Linked DNA regions of Elephas maximus indicus. The main gene of each other region encodes a partner of the protein of the gene in region 2 in a complex. Links are inferred from orthologs where the notes say so. Each region holds a gene or a part of one and is shown on either strand. Other genes may lie near its edges. The genes, in order: AMBRA1 and CCND1.

Region 1 (7,287 bases), about 30 Mb from region 2:
AGGTCTCCTGATTCCTTAATCTATTTTCTCTTGACCACATCACACTGGCAGGCTGCCACATACTACTGGACTCATAAATACGTCGACAATAACTGATTACAAACATTTTATCTTTTATCAGTAACTAATTTTAGCTATAAGAAAAGAAAATAGATTTAATTAATTTAGGAGGGAGGAATTTGAAAAGATAAAATACAAATTACCCCCAAACCACAAGACAGGTTGTAACTTTTATACAAACAAATTATGACAAGAAACAGAAAGTTCTCTTTGGGTTTATAAGGAACAACTGGAGAAAGAAACAAGAATGACTATGATTAAAGGAACTTCAGATTTTTTGTTTTTATAAACCAAACCACTGAGCAAAAAAAAAAAAAAATCTGCATCCCATTCCAAAATAACTCTATTGAGGCTGAGGCACATCTTGGAAAAAGAGACCTTGGTGTGCCGACGACAAAACTTTTTCTCCAATTCCTTTAAGAGAAGCAAAGACTTTATCATATTATGGGAGGAGTGAGACAAATAGTCAACATAATCTGTCAACATTCACGAGGATCCTCAAACACCATAAATGTTTTGGTTCAACATTAATAAGCAGCATAATTAATAAGCAGCATAAAGGAATATGGTCAAAAAAATAAGTTTCTTAAGTTTCCTAACACATATTGAAAATATTTTGAAAATCATACAGTATAAAAGTGTAAGTTGTTATTCTGTTAATAAAAATAATAATTTTCAAGTAATACACATAACTTATCTTTTTCAAGTGATATACATAATTCCATTCCAGGCCAAATTCTACAGGATATTCAAAGAAACCAGCACCTTTAAGAATCCCCAAGAACTGTCTTGCTAAAAGAATAATTCAATCACATTCTGAACCTGTACATTTCGGAAAGGAAATCCCACAAGACAGCCCACTCTGACACTGACAGAACAAAACAAGATTTGATCAAGTAAGTTAAAAGTGGAGTGAATTTCTATCCTAAAGCAGAGAAGGGGGCAAGACGCTGATAAACTCTACCCCATAAGCCCTACCACCAAATTTCTTATCTTCCTCAATTCATCTTCAAGTACTTTTTACAGAAACATAAAACGTTGCTAATATTTCTTCCCGACACTCACAGCAATTTCCACTTACTTTATTTAGCACTTAGAAGCCCTGGTGGCGTAGTCGTTAAGTGCTACAGCTGCTAACCAAAGGGTTGGCAGTTTGAATCCGCCAGGTGCTCCTTGGAAACTCTATGGGGCAGTTCTACTCTTTCTATAGAGTCGCTATGAGTCAGAATCGACTCGACGGCACTGGGTTTGGTTGTTTGTTTTTTATTATTATTATTTAGCACTTATAAGATACCACTAAGATACTACACGTAACTCTAAATTCTGTCCAGAACCTACCAAAGATTAATGGACAATATCGCTTCCTTCTCTAAGTTCTCTCCTCTGATATAATTTCTCTTCTACCATAAAGCCTTCTTCTTCAACGAATACACATTCTTAACCTAACTTCCCAATCTAGATTCTCCGTATAGTCTGGTGGCTCTTCATTAATCCTTTTCAGTAAGCACTGAGATCCTGGTGACTAGAAAAGCACTCGCGATCAAAGGCCTTTCATTTAAATCTTGCTGACCCCACAAAAAAATTAGAGGGGAAAAAAAAAATCTTTCCAACGCTCACACGAGAATGCTAAAATTGTGCTGGGTCAGAGACTTGTATATTTTCCATCCAAGCACCAGGGATTTAATCAGTTCTCCCTTAAAAGGCTTCTCCCAATGATTCTACATACTATGAGAACTTATCCGACCTAGCTTGACCTCTACGCTGATTATTTTTTTCAACAAAAAGTTACACAAATTAGGATCATAACACCAAATTCAATGAAAATAAAACGAGTAAGAATAAGTAACTCCCCAAATTTCCCAAGTTTGGAGAGAAACATAACAGAGTTCCCAGAATGTTAACCTTCAATTTAAATACCTCAATATTTGCATGATTCCTGCACACAGCCTTTTACCTCTAGTATATGCACTGACCACTAATCAAAAACACGAAAAAGTATTCCAAAAGGGACTCCTTAGGTTTCCTTTGGATACTTCCCGGAAGGCAAACCCTCACAAGGCCAACCATCTGATTTCAAAATCTTGACCATCCTGTCAGGACACCATAGTTGAAAGATTTCCACTAAAAACCGGCTGAGGGGAAGGAGGAGAAAAAAAGCATCAACTAGAAAGCAAACTGGACAGCAAACAAAATTATCAACCAAGAAACAAAAAGAAACTGTCATTGCTATTCTCGCTAAAATAACACAGACTTTGAAAAGCAAAACCAGCCAAAAGATCACATGGTCTCTTTACTTCTGAAGTCACCGGTAACAGAATTTATATTCCTAAGAAGAAGGAACCACAGACAATCAAATGACAAATCACTATGTGCATAAAGGAGTACCTGGTAAAACGAAAAAAGGTGAGCTGGTAAATGACAAAAAAGTGACTTACAGTGCCTTCAACATCTGCAGGGGATATGGGGAAAACTCACGTCCCAGACCTCAGCCTCAGTTTCCCTACCCAAAAAAGAGGCGAGAAAATGACACTTCGCTCAGAGGAGCCAGAGGGCCTTGTTCCACACGCCTCCACCTACTCAAGGGTCCCTCCAAAGGCCGGACTCAGAGGGGGTCCCCAGTGCAATTGAGTCATGACACCCGGAGCCTTAGGAAGCGGGAAAGGAAAAAGGGAGGAGGGTCAAAGTGCGCAAATCTTTAACCATTCTGGAAGGCGATTTTCCCCCGACACAGGGGGCGCCGACACCCACCCTAGACCCAACATCCCCTCCCTACCGAACCACACTGGGCTGCCCCAGCATCTCTCCCTCCTTCCGGCTTCTCCTTCAGTTCCCTGCCGCCCCTCCGGCCGCGCCCCCGAACGCAGCCCGACAGCCCCTCCTCTGGCGGAGTCTCGGCCGCGGGTCCGCCCGCCCACCCGCCGGCGCCAAGGTCTTCTCAACCCCGTGGCTGAAGGATGCCGGGCCGGGCCTCCCAGGCTCCTCCCGGGCCTACCTGCAAGGCGAGTGGGGGCTCGGTTTGCAGCCCGGCGAGCAGGCTGAGCCACAAAGAGGAGGAAGGAATAGGCAGGAAGGACGCAAGAGGTCCGCTCTACCGACCGGCGGAAGAAAGCGGCCCGAGTGTGGAGCCTCGCGGGTAACTCAGCCCTCGACCGGGCGCCGCCACCGCTCAGGAGACATCAAGCAAGAAGACGGCGCAAAAGATCACCGAACACACGAACGCCCAGACATTAATGGAGGAGCGCCTGAGCTATCGTTCAAGGCACCAGAGCCGAGCGCCGGAAAACAGCTCCGTGGCTTCAAGGTCCGGCTCCCGTCCAAGGCATAAATAAACAAGTCCAGATTCTAAACCTGTGCTTCTGCCATTTTCTGTGTCGGTTGCCGGCTGTTTAAGTTGTGTAGACACCTGGAGTTTTTCTTGAGAGTGTTGAAAATCAAATCATGGTGCAGTAACACTTGTAGTCTAATTGTAGTTTAGCTATACAGTTCGACTACCTTATGAACTTAGAAAAATATTTATCCCAATTGAGCAAATCACCTCTTTTGATCGTTAGTTTTCTCACAAAACAGTGAGATGAATGATCCCTGAAATCTTCTCCAGCTCTAACATTATGTGATTACATGGCTTTCCAGTAATACATTCACCAAAAATATGTATGTATTTATGGCGAGAGGAAGAGAATGCGAATCCAGATAGAAACAAAGTAAATACAAAAGCCCTTAAAGTCCCACAAACGTAGCAAGAAGCTGAGAAAACCCACGGGTGTGTCATCTGACCTTAAATCAGGGGAAAGCCAATCCATGGACCGCATTTTATTTTCTTCGACATGTCTAGATACTGATTTACCTGGCACCTGGTGGCGTAGTAGTTAAGAGCTCGACTGCTAAGGAGTTCGAATCCACCAGCCGCTCCTGGGAAACTCTATGGGGCAGTTCTACTCCGTCCTATAGGGTCCCTATGAGTTGGAATCCGCTCGAGGGCAAAGGGTTGGAATCCATAGGTTGGGGTTTTTTTTAGCACAGGGACCATAAAACCACAGGTGTGGTTCTTACATAATGATCAAAAGTCTCTGGGATCAGATGATAAAGTATGTTGACATTTTCATGCACAACAATGGCCTGTTTCTGAAGTCTCTTAGTACCCAAATATGCTCAGCACAAGTAGGGATTTATATGTGCATCCTGAGTACAACTCAGTAAAACACATGGATCACTACAAATATGGATTACCAAGTGTGAACAGTAATACAGAGTACCCTACCTCCTCCTAAGGAGTGAGGAGACTTGGAAGGGCATAAAAAGAAAATAAGATAGTCCCAGTCCTTGAATAATTTATAATTTAATTAAAGTGAAAGAACACATCCTTACAGCATTAATTTTATTTACAATTTATTGTTACTTTCTGTACTTTCTTCTTTTAGTCTGTGAAAATACTTAGGGACAACCCATAAAAATAACACATAGACATGAGACCAGCAACCATAACATGCCATACATAAGGACAAGACACTGGGCTTTGGTTGTCTACCACTGTTTTAGAGGACTTTTAAAATGAGTAAACAGTATAGTAGCATTAATGAAAGTCTTAAAAAACAACAACTTAAAAGTCTGCCTCCAAAATGTATAATTTTAATTTGTTCATGTTCCCATGAAGTGCTTGGAAATATCCATATATAATTTTTAGAAGTTTAATTCAAGGAGAGATACAATTACGTTATAATTTTTCATTATATCATCTCCCCTATTAAAACTTATTAGTTTTTTCTTTAACTGTTGCACAATAGTCCACTGAGGGGATACACTGATCATGCTCCCCATTGCTGAACATTTGTGTTATTTCCTTTTTCTGTGTAATAGGTATTGCTGCACTTAGAAAGAGGCAGCTATAACCCTATTATTTATTATTAGTCTTTTTTGCACATAAACAAATAATAAGAGTAATCAAGGAAGGCAGGGAATTCCTGGGTGTCACAAAGAGTTAAGCACTTGATTACTAGCCAAAAAATTGGCAATTCAAACCTATTTAGAGGGGCCTTGGAAAATTGGCCTAGAAATCTACTTTCTACAGGACAGAGCCTTGAAAACCCTGTGGAGCAGTTCTGCACTGCACACATGGGTGCCCTGAGCTGGAATCCATTTGACAGCAATTAACAACAAGGGAGGTAGAGGTTTATTTCTTTGTCGTATAAAAGAAATTCAGAGATGCACACCCCAGGGTAAGTATGGTGTCTCAGTGTCAGATACGAGGCTCCTTCTTATCTTATTGCTTTGCTATTAGTGGCTAAAAGTGGCTTTCACCTCAGATCCCAGATGTCTACTCAAGCTCCAGCCATCATGACCACATTCCAAAAAGCAGGAAGCTCAGAAGGAAAAGCACGTCTCCTAGCCATAACCACACATCTTGAAAGTAACACAGGCACTTCCACTTATATCTACTCACCAGGATTTAGTTACATAGCCATACCTAGATGAAAGGCAAGCTGGGAAGTAGTCTTTATCCCAGGCAGCCATTTACCCACTGAAGGTGGAAGGCACATGGATACTAAGTGACAGCTAAACAAGCAGTCTCTGCCACATTTCTGGAGCCAAATGAGGAGCTGGCAAAGAGACCTTTCTTTGCAGTCTTCCCAGAATTCCTAGAATACATGCTATAGATAAGCTTCCTTTTTTAGAAAGGTTTGTGGGGCATAATGTCTAGAGCTACACCCCTGATTCAAATTTGACCTAAATTACTACATTATTTTGGAACTTTTATTGCAGTAATAAAAGCTAAGAAACTGTAATTTCAAGTTTATGATAAGTTTTTGCTTTTTAAAAGCCAGAGACTTTTATTTTGGGAAAATCACCTGAAAGTTATGCAAATATAAATCTAAAATGACCATCGGAAAATGGAGATATTTGAGAAACTGAGACAGCTATGGAGCTATACTGTTCTGTGAGATCATGGAAAATACGGCTTATTCTGCAGGCAGAATCGCATTCCTAGAGATACATTTTCTTTAGAGAACTGTTTCTTTTGAAGTGTGGATTTAAGCTTCCATGTGACAACAACCGACTGTTTTGTTCTTATGGAGATGTCTGTGTGGATGGAAATATTGTCCATAAGAGAAAAGGAGTTGAAACCCCCAAACCTACAGGATACTCCTCACACTGGAGGAAGAACTTTAAAAAAGAAACCAAGTGGGTAGAGGTAAAGATCATCCTGGGTTGTACCACTGATGCCCTAAATATTGGTGTTAATACTCAATAAGTCATTATTGTATTGATTGTTCATTGTATAGCATTCTCCAGGTGGAGTCATAACTTTAAAGGTAGCATAGTGCATTCTCTGAAGTAGGGTAACCAAATGTCCTGTTTGCCCAAGACTGAAGTGTTTCCCAGGACATGGGTCTTTCAATGCTAAAACTGTGACACCCTCCTCTGCCTCCCCACTGCCCCCCAAAAAACAAACAAAAAACACTACCGTGGAGTTAATTCTGACTCAGAGCAACTGTGACAGTTCTGGGAAAACTGGGATAATTGGTCAACCTAAGAATGGACCTTGCCATTGTCCATCACATGGAAAGAATTTGGAAAGACTAAACCAGCAAAGGAACCCTGGTAGGGCTGTAGTTAAGAGTTCAGCTGCTAACAAAAGGTCAACAGTTCCAATCCACCAGATGCCCCTTAGAAACCCTACAGGGCAGTTTTATCTGTCCTATAGGTTTGCTGTGCGTCAGAATCGACTCAAGGGCAACTGTTTTTTTTTTTAAACAAGGAAGAGGATTGGGCATGTTAGCCTAGAGGAATTGCCTGGGGGAGAGAGGGAGGGAAAGGGAGGAGACTCTGCTCCCAACCTTGACTCTGGGATTTGGAAACTTGCTCTACTGCATTCTGGGTGGTAGCAATAAGGCTGAACCTAGGGTGAAATAACTCTGTAGCTGTTATGGTTAGGTGCCCATCGAGTTGGTTGCTACTCACAGTGACTCTGTGTACAACAGAATGAAACACTGCCTGATCGTGCATCACCCTCACAATTTTTACTGTGTGGGCCCATTGTTGCAGCCACTCTGTCAATCCATCTTTTCGAGGGTCTGCCTGTTTTGTTGGCCTTCTACTTTACCAAGCATGATGTCCTTCTCCAGGGATTGGTCCCTCCTGATAACGTGTCCAAAGCACGTTAGATGAAGTCTTGCCATCCTCGCTTCTAAGGAACATTCTGTCTGTGCCTCTTCCAAGACAGATTTGTTG
Region 2 (7,073 bases):
AGGAAGATCCCAACCCTCTGCTCAACAGGGCAGAGGAAGAGCAAGAAGGGGTATGATACGGGCACTGTCGAGGCGGGGAAACTGAGCAAGAAGCTGGGCCCCAGTTGCCTGGGGAGGAGGGGCTGGCCCGCCACCCTACCTACCTGTGGCACAGAGCGCCACGAAGGTCTGGGCGTGTTTTCGGATAATCTGCTTGTTCTCCTGGGCCACGGGCATCTTGGACAGGAAGTGTTCGATGAAATCGTGGGGGGTCATGGCAGCCAGGTTCCACTTGAGCTTGTTCACCAGAAGCAGCTCCATGTGCTGGGGAGATGAAGCGGGCAGAGAGACAGAGAAAGAGAGAGAGAGAAAGAGGTGCAGGGTCAGCCCTGGGGGGCCTGGGATGCCGGCCAGGAGCAGGGCAGAGGGTGGGAAGGAGGGATGTGGCCTGTTGAGGGGTTCAGGAAGTAGGGCGAGGGGGACAGACGACCCGCAATTCCGGATCAAAACAGAGAAGGTGCCGCGTGAAAAGGCCCCCGTGCTCATTGTCATTAAGCCGACTGTTCACAAGTGGAGACAAAAAGACCTCCCACCATCTGCAACCAAAGGCCTTATTAATTAGCGCGGGCGCCCTGAGCGCGCCGCCACCGCTAGAGGGCGCGCGCCGTCCACTTTTCGCCCTCGCTCCGGGGTGCAAACGTGGTCGAAAGTGGGATGTGGGGCGGCGGGCGCCGAGATGGGGGGGCGGCCCGGATAACTGCCGCCTGCTGTTCCTGGCCTCCCCCCTGCCCCGGAGCGGTGTGGCCGCCCTCCCTCAGGCCCGAGGATCTGTCAGCGTCTGGCTGGGCCTCCCCGCGACCCGCGCCCCCATCCCTGGGATCCTGTAACAAACGGGGTGCCTGGGGGCCGTGGGGGTCCCCCGGTTACCAGCAGCTCGTCGGGTCGGATGGAGTTGTCTGTGTAGATGCACAGCTTCTCGGCCGTCAGGGGGATGGTCTCCTTCATCTTGGAGGCCACGAACATGCAGGTGGCCCCCAGCAGCTGCAGGCGGCTCTTCTTCACCGGCTCCAGGGACAGGAAGCGGTCCAGATAGTTCATGGCCAGCGGGAAGACCTCCTCCTCGCACTTCTGCTCCTCGCAGACCTGCAGGGGCAGGGGGGCCGTGACCACCGCCGCTGGGGGCGCGGGACCCCCGCCCGACGTCTCCGCACGCCCACCCCGCGCGCGCCGGGGCTGCGGCGCCGGAGCGCGGGGAGGCACCGGGCAGGGGGTGGCTTGAGCCTCCGATGACGCGTCCCCACCCCCGCGCGCCCCCAGCACCCATCCACCTCCGAAACTGAAAGGGAAAGTCCCGCGCGGCTGGCACGGTGGGGGCGGGAGTGGGCACCGCGGGCAGCGGTGCGGCCGGGAGACCCCAGCCCACCTGGGGGCTCTGGGGGTCCTTCTGGCTGGGAGCCCGCACCAAATGGGCCGCGGGGCCGCGGGGCTGGACCACGGGGTTGGGCGCCGCGCTCGCCCCGCCTGCGAGACACAAAGGTGGCGTCCCAGGCCGCAGCGCCGCATTTCCCCAGACGTCATCTTTTCAAAAAATATTTAAAAATATAAAAAAAATAAGTGGGCGCACAAAAAATCCCTGAAAACGATCCCCGGACGGCCCTTTACCTAGGCCGGGGCTCTGGAGCTCACTACAGGCTCCAGGGAGCGCCCCAGGGACTGAAACTCGGGGGCACCCCTTCCCCCTGGGCGCGGGCGCCGTTTCCCTCTCGCAAGGGCACCACGCCGCACTTTCAAAAATTATTTTAAAATACTCGCGGTCCCCCCAGACGCCCACCGCAGGCCTGAAAATGTGCCCCGGACACCCGGATGACTCTGGGCAGGCCCCCCCAAGCCAAGCCCCTCGCAGACGGGGGCCAATTCCTGGTGTCTTGGGGGCCACGCGACCTTGCAGCCCGGCGTGCTCTCCGGGCCAGCTGGCGGTGCAGGGAGCCCCAGGGGTCGCTGCTTGAACAAAGGGGCCACACTTCCCAAGCGGGGTCCCCCCAGAAATGCCCACACCCTGTTCCCGCACCCCTCCCGCCTGGCTCCCGGCAGCCGGGCGGCCCCTCGCCGCGGCCCCAGCGCCTCGCCGGCCGCTCCCCGCCCCCACCCTCCCCCCAATTATTAATAAACACTTTTGCTTTGCAATAAAAGAACAAAGATGGCGCATAATACTGGCACGAGTGGCCCTTGCATACGTGTCCATGGATATTAATTTAAAAATCAAATCGATACCCCCTCCCCCCGGGGCTGGCGCCCCGGGCCGCAGCGGCCGGGAGAGGAGGCGCAGATAGGCGCGGACGCAGGCGGGGGCTGCGCGGCGGTGGCGGCCGGGAGGGGGCCACCAAAGGCGCCCCCAGCCTGCCGACCCGCACCTTTCGGCTTATTCGGGTGCCCCCGCCACTCGCTTCTCCGAAGGCACCCCTCCTCGAGCCCTCCACCCCGTAGGAAAGGGAGTTTCGAACGCCCCCACCCCCATCCCCATTTTTTCCTGGTTAAAAAAAAAAAAAAATACCCACAATATCTATTTCTTTGGAAAAGACAGATTCCTAGCAACCCTCGGCGAACTGGAAAGTTGGGGTGAGGGTGAAAGAAGGGAGAGATGAGAGGCAAAGCAATCTGGGCTTAGGCAACAAGTTGCAGAAAGTCCCCAAAGGGCGGCCCGGCGCCACGCACCTCCAGCATCCAGGTGGCCACGATCTTGCGCATGGACGGCAGTATCTCCTTCTGCACGCACTTGAAGTAGGACACCGAGGGCGCGCAGGTCTCTTCGGCCTTGAGCATGGCCTGCAGCACCCGGTCGTTGAGAAGGTTGGCATCGGGGTACGCGCGGCGGATGGTCTCCACCTCGCAGCACAGGAGCTGGTGCTCCATGCCGGCGGCTGGGCTGGGCGGCGGAGAAGGCGGTCGGCTGGGCTCAGGCTCGGGCTCCCGCTCGGTCCGCGAGCTCGGCCTCGCTCCTCCCGCTGCCCCGCGCTCTCTCGCCCTCGTCTGCCCCTCGCAGGAGCGCGCGGCCGCTGCTGCTCGCTGCTACTGCGCCGACAGCCCTCTGGAGGCTCCAGGACTTTGCAACTTCCAACAAAACTCCCCTGTAGTCCTTGTGACGTTACTGTTGTTAAGCAGAGATCAAAGCCGGGCAGAGAATGGGAGCGGGGGGGCGGGGCGGGCGCAGGGGGAGGGGGCGCGGGCCGAGAGCCGGGGAGCAGCGAGGGGCAGAGCCCAAAAGGCATCCCAGAGGCGCCGCTCCTGCCCCGCGGCGGAGTTCCCCCCGAAGCCGGGTTTTCATAGAAATGCAAATCGCCCCGCCGCGGCCTTTCTCCCCGCGGGGGAAGAGGGGTGCAGGGGGGCCCGGTTCCCTCCAAGTGGTCCCCGGGGATTTGGGGAGGGGGCGTTGCAGAAGGGGACAACGAAGAGGGCGGGCAGGCCACACGGAGCCTGGGGAGACCGCATGGAGGGGGGACGCTGGGGCTCGGCGACACCCTATATCCGAGCCGGGAGAATGGGCACATTTCCGAGAACGCCACGAGGTCACCCACGGGCGGAGGGACGGCCAAGGAAGGAATCACAGCTTCTGCCTTTTCTTTCATTTTCATTAACACGTGTAAATTTCAGGAACTGTTTAACAGGCGGGGACGCGGGGCAGAGCATAGGACCCTGGTGGCACCTTCATTCCGGCCCACGGGGGGGTCATTGGAAATGCCCGAGGGGGTAACCCTAAACGTTAAAAGGGGCTTCAGCCCAGCACAGGCTCGCTCAAAAAATAAAATAAAATAAATCCCCGAAAATTCCAGAAGCAGCCCAAGATGGTGGCCAGCATTTCCATCATCCTGTCCTGCTCGCCTGAGGGATCCGCGGACTGTCCTCCTACCTTGGCAAGTACATCCTTGCAGGGGTCCCCAAGTGTCCCCTCCCCCAGTCCCGGCATTTCAACAGCGGAAAAACACCTTGGAATGGAAGGCTGCGAAACAGAGGTCTGTCCCGCCTCACTTTTTAATTAAAAAAGAAATTAAATTGCTGGAAATATTAGCCTCCTCTCTGCCTGGGACGAGACCACCGGAAGCTTCCTACACGGTTTTGCCGGGGTTGTGAACGTCTCTTCACCTTTCGAACTTGCCCTGGGGCTGCGCTTGTGAGCGCCAGGGGGCTGGCAAGAATTAGAACAATTGAAAGTGAGAGAAATGGGTGCTTGAACAGATGATTTTAAACAAAATCTATATGTGATCGTGGTAATAGGATCGGGTCCCTAATATTAACTTAAATTTAAGAAAGACACACAAAAATATATACGGTATTTTTATTAAATGGAGATTGGCTTTTTGGTGTGTTTTTTCTTTTTTTTTTTAAATAAAAGGCTATTTTACCCATTCTTAACTTTTTTTTGTTTGTTTTTACACTACCTGTCCCCACTTTAGAAAACTGTTCATTTACGTCTCTTTGAACCTAGTTTAATGTCCTAAAAACCACCGACTCCCCTAACAGTAAAGGCGCAAAAGAAAACGGATTTTTAGATAGCCCTCCGGGTGGAAAGGGCGCACGCTGCGAATGAAGACGCCCCCCGCCAGGGGACAGGGGGGATTCCTCCCGCGCCCCATCCCCCGCCGGAATGAGGGCGGCTAATATTCCGGGTCTGGGAGGGTCACAGCCCCCGAGGCGATGGGTGACCGGGCAGGACGCGCCCACCGCCATGCGCCCTCCCCGGGTACCCACGCCCCGGCCGACCCCGGGCACGGCGTAGCCTCAGCAGCCTCCGCCGGCGCACGAGGGCGGCCAGGCAGCTTTTCATTCATAAATTCCCGACCGGGCGGCCGCCCGATGATTTATGGGGCTGCGCGCCCTCACCGGCGGCAGGGCCTCGAGGGTCCAGGGGCTCGCGCCCCGGTGTGCGCCCCGGCCCGGCCAGAGGCGCGAGTCGCCGACGTTGGCGAGGGGCAGCAGGGCATAAGGAGGATCGCCCACCCCGGCCACTCGGGCTCCGGGATCAGGAGGGAGCTGCCCCCCCACGGCGAGAAAGAGAGGAAACTGGAATTAGCATGAGCCAATGGGGGCGCGGCGCTGTTACTAGGCGGGCCGGGCAGATCTCGAGGAGGAACTTTGTTGATTTCCCGGCTCAGGGACGGGCGCAAAAGTGCAAGCCCGGCCGGCGGGCGTGTAGAGCCGTCCAGGAACCGGTGGGGGAGGCGCAGGAATTTGGGGCCCCGCGGGGAGCGCCCGGCGCCCAGCCCCCGCCGGGAGAGCCCAGCCTGGCGGCCCCCTAGCTCCCGAGGAAACCCACCGCCCGGCCCCATGAGGTTAATTGCTGCTAACAGAGCAGAAGACGCATTTTGATTTTTTTTTATTTTGCAGAGTAAAGCAACTTTTCAGCACTTTTCCGTTGCCGCTTTCATTTGGCACTGTTTGTAAAACCCACCACGCCGCCGACACTGCGCATTCCGAGCTCGTTTAAAGCGCTCCGCGTGGATTGCGTGGGACCACTTGGAGACAAAGGTCGGGTGGCCCAATTCGGAGGGAAACCGCGTTCGTGTGAAAGGAAACCCTAAGTTACTGGAACCCCCATCCCCACCTCCCTCGCCTCGGTCCCCTGGGCGGTGGCAGCGGCCGGGCGGATCGCTGGCCCGAGAGGGCGCATTCCGCTGCGGCGCGCGTTTGCCACCGTCCCTGGCTGTGGGAACCTTCATTCAAAGGGGGAAGGGAACGCGTTCATTCAGGAACCCGCGCGCCGCGGAGCCGACCCAGGTCCCACCGCGGCTGCGCGCTGCCTGAGCAGGGGGCTCTCCCGAGGGGGCTGCGGCCAGAGGGGCGACCTTCCGCTGGCGTCGCCCTACGGCACCCGCACTCCCCTCCTCCCCACGGGAGGACGGCGACCGGGCGCACCCAGGTGGGGTCACCTGCAGCCGCATACCTGGCGGCGACTTGAAAGGACTTGGCTCCAGCACCGCGAGTTTTCCATTGTTAAGCCCTTAAGTCGCACTGGAAAGCGCTTCCGAAGGCGGGCCGCGGGGTTCCGGGGGCGCTTGGGCTCCCCTGCCCCCACGCTGCTAGCTTTTGGGGCGCGCACCGAGAGCCACGTGCTCAGCAGCTCCGCAAGGGCTCCGCGGCGCCGACTGCGCGTGCCCCAAAGCTGCCCGCCCAGCGCACCCGAGCCTCGGCGCCCACTTGGGGTAGCCAGCAGCTTGGGACGGGGGCGGCCGCACCCCACGCCGCCCCCATCAGCGATCCCTTAATTTAAGCCACACACAGGCTCCCCCCGCCCCTAGACGTCCGGCGGCGGGGCTGGGACACTGCCTGCCCCTACGGACGCGGGCGAAGTGGGCGCAGGACTTAAAAACCCCAACAGTAGTGGGGCCCTGGACCCAAAGACGCTTTTGGGATTGCGAGGGAGGAGGTGCAACTCTTGAAGTTGAAAGAAGATTCTATCCCCTTGATCCTCGCCCACTCAAAACGCGTTGCCTGGTGCCCTGAGCAAAATGAACCCCAAAGTTCAGTATTTTCCGGCCTGCCGGCTCAAGCTCCCAGTGGGGAGTGGGCGCCCAGGTGTAGAAGAAAGCCTCTCCAGCCAAGGCGGAGAACTCGGGCGGGGATGGGGGCTATGACTTCAGAGGCCACGTGCCCCTGGATGTCTGAGAGGGCTTCTGCCGGTGCGAGGGCTCGCGGGGCCGCTCCAGGACCAGCGGGGCCACGGAGCCTGGGGCTGCGGCTTTGCAGGCGGCGGGACCACGCTGAGACCGTCGTCGGCTCCCACGCGCCCTGGCCCCGCGGGAGCAGGACGTCCCTCCCGCGCCCCGGGGCCTGTCACCTGCCCTCCCCCGCCCTTTCTCGAGGATCTTCCGCGGGGACGTACCCCCCGCCTTTCTAGCCGGCTTCCCCCTGTGGATCCCTCCAGAAAGCGTTTCTACGCTTCGCCTTGGCCCTGGGGGTGGGTGGGACGGCCGGGGTCTCCGGTGGGGAGACTCCGAGTTCTAGAACTCCCGATACTTGCCGGGGAGGGGGGGCGAAGAGGAGGAGGACGGAGCCTTTTTCGCAGGCTTGGGGGAATGGGGCTCAAACCTAGCTTCCGGTAC

Evidence for each region.
Region 1: the proteins of CCND1 (region 2) and AMBRA1 are in contact, whole or in part, in a cryo-EM structure (PDB 9IVD), measured with the Homo sapiens proteins. The link is inferred for Elephas maximus indicus from reciprocal best matches to the Homo sapiens genes CCND1 and AMBRA1. Residues at the interface, in NP_444284.1 of Homo sapiens: Thr286, Pro287, Thr288, Asp289, Val290, Arg291, Val293, Asp294, Ile295; in NP_001354397.1 of Homo sapiens: Arg54, Ser55, Phe57, Val73, His75, Arg96, Thr97, Trp99, Leu116, Ala139, Arg184, Ile945, Asn1012, Asn1029.

Annotation. Positions count from the first base shown.
Region 1 is NC_064825.1:102,060,828-102,068,114, forward strand, and holds the start of AMBRA1 (activating molecule in BECN1-regulated autophagy protein 1), read right to left. Parts: upstream 3,268-7,287; 5' UTR 3,053-3,267; intron 1-3,052. UniProt on the Homo sapiens protein: Substrate-recognition component of a DCX (DDB1-CUL4-X-box) E3 ubiquitin-protein ligase complex involved in cell cycle control and autophagy.
Region 2 is NC_064825.1:132,456,714-132,463,786, reverse strand, and holds the start of CCND1 (G1/S-specific cyclin-D1), read right to left. Parts: upstream 3,131-7,073; 5' UTR 2,890-3,130; coding exon 2,692-2,889; intron 1,123-2,691; coding exon 907-1,122; intron 304-906; coding exon 144-303; intron 1-143. UniProt on the Homo sapiens protein: Regulatory component of the cyclin D1-CDK4 (DC) complex that phosphorylates and inhibits members of the retinoblastoma (RB) protein family including RB1 and regulates the cell-cycle during G(1)/S transition.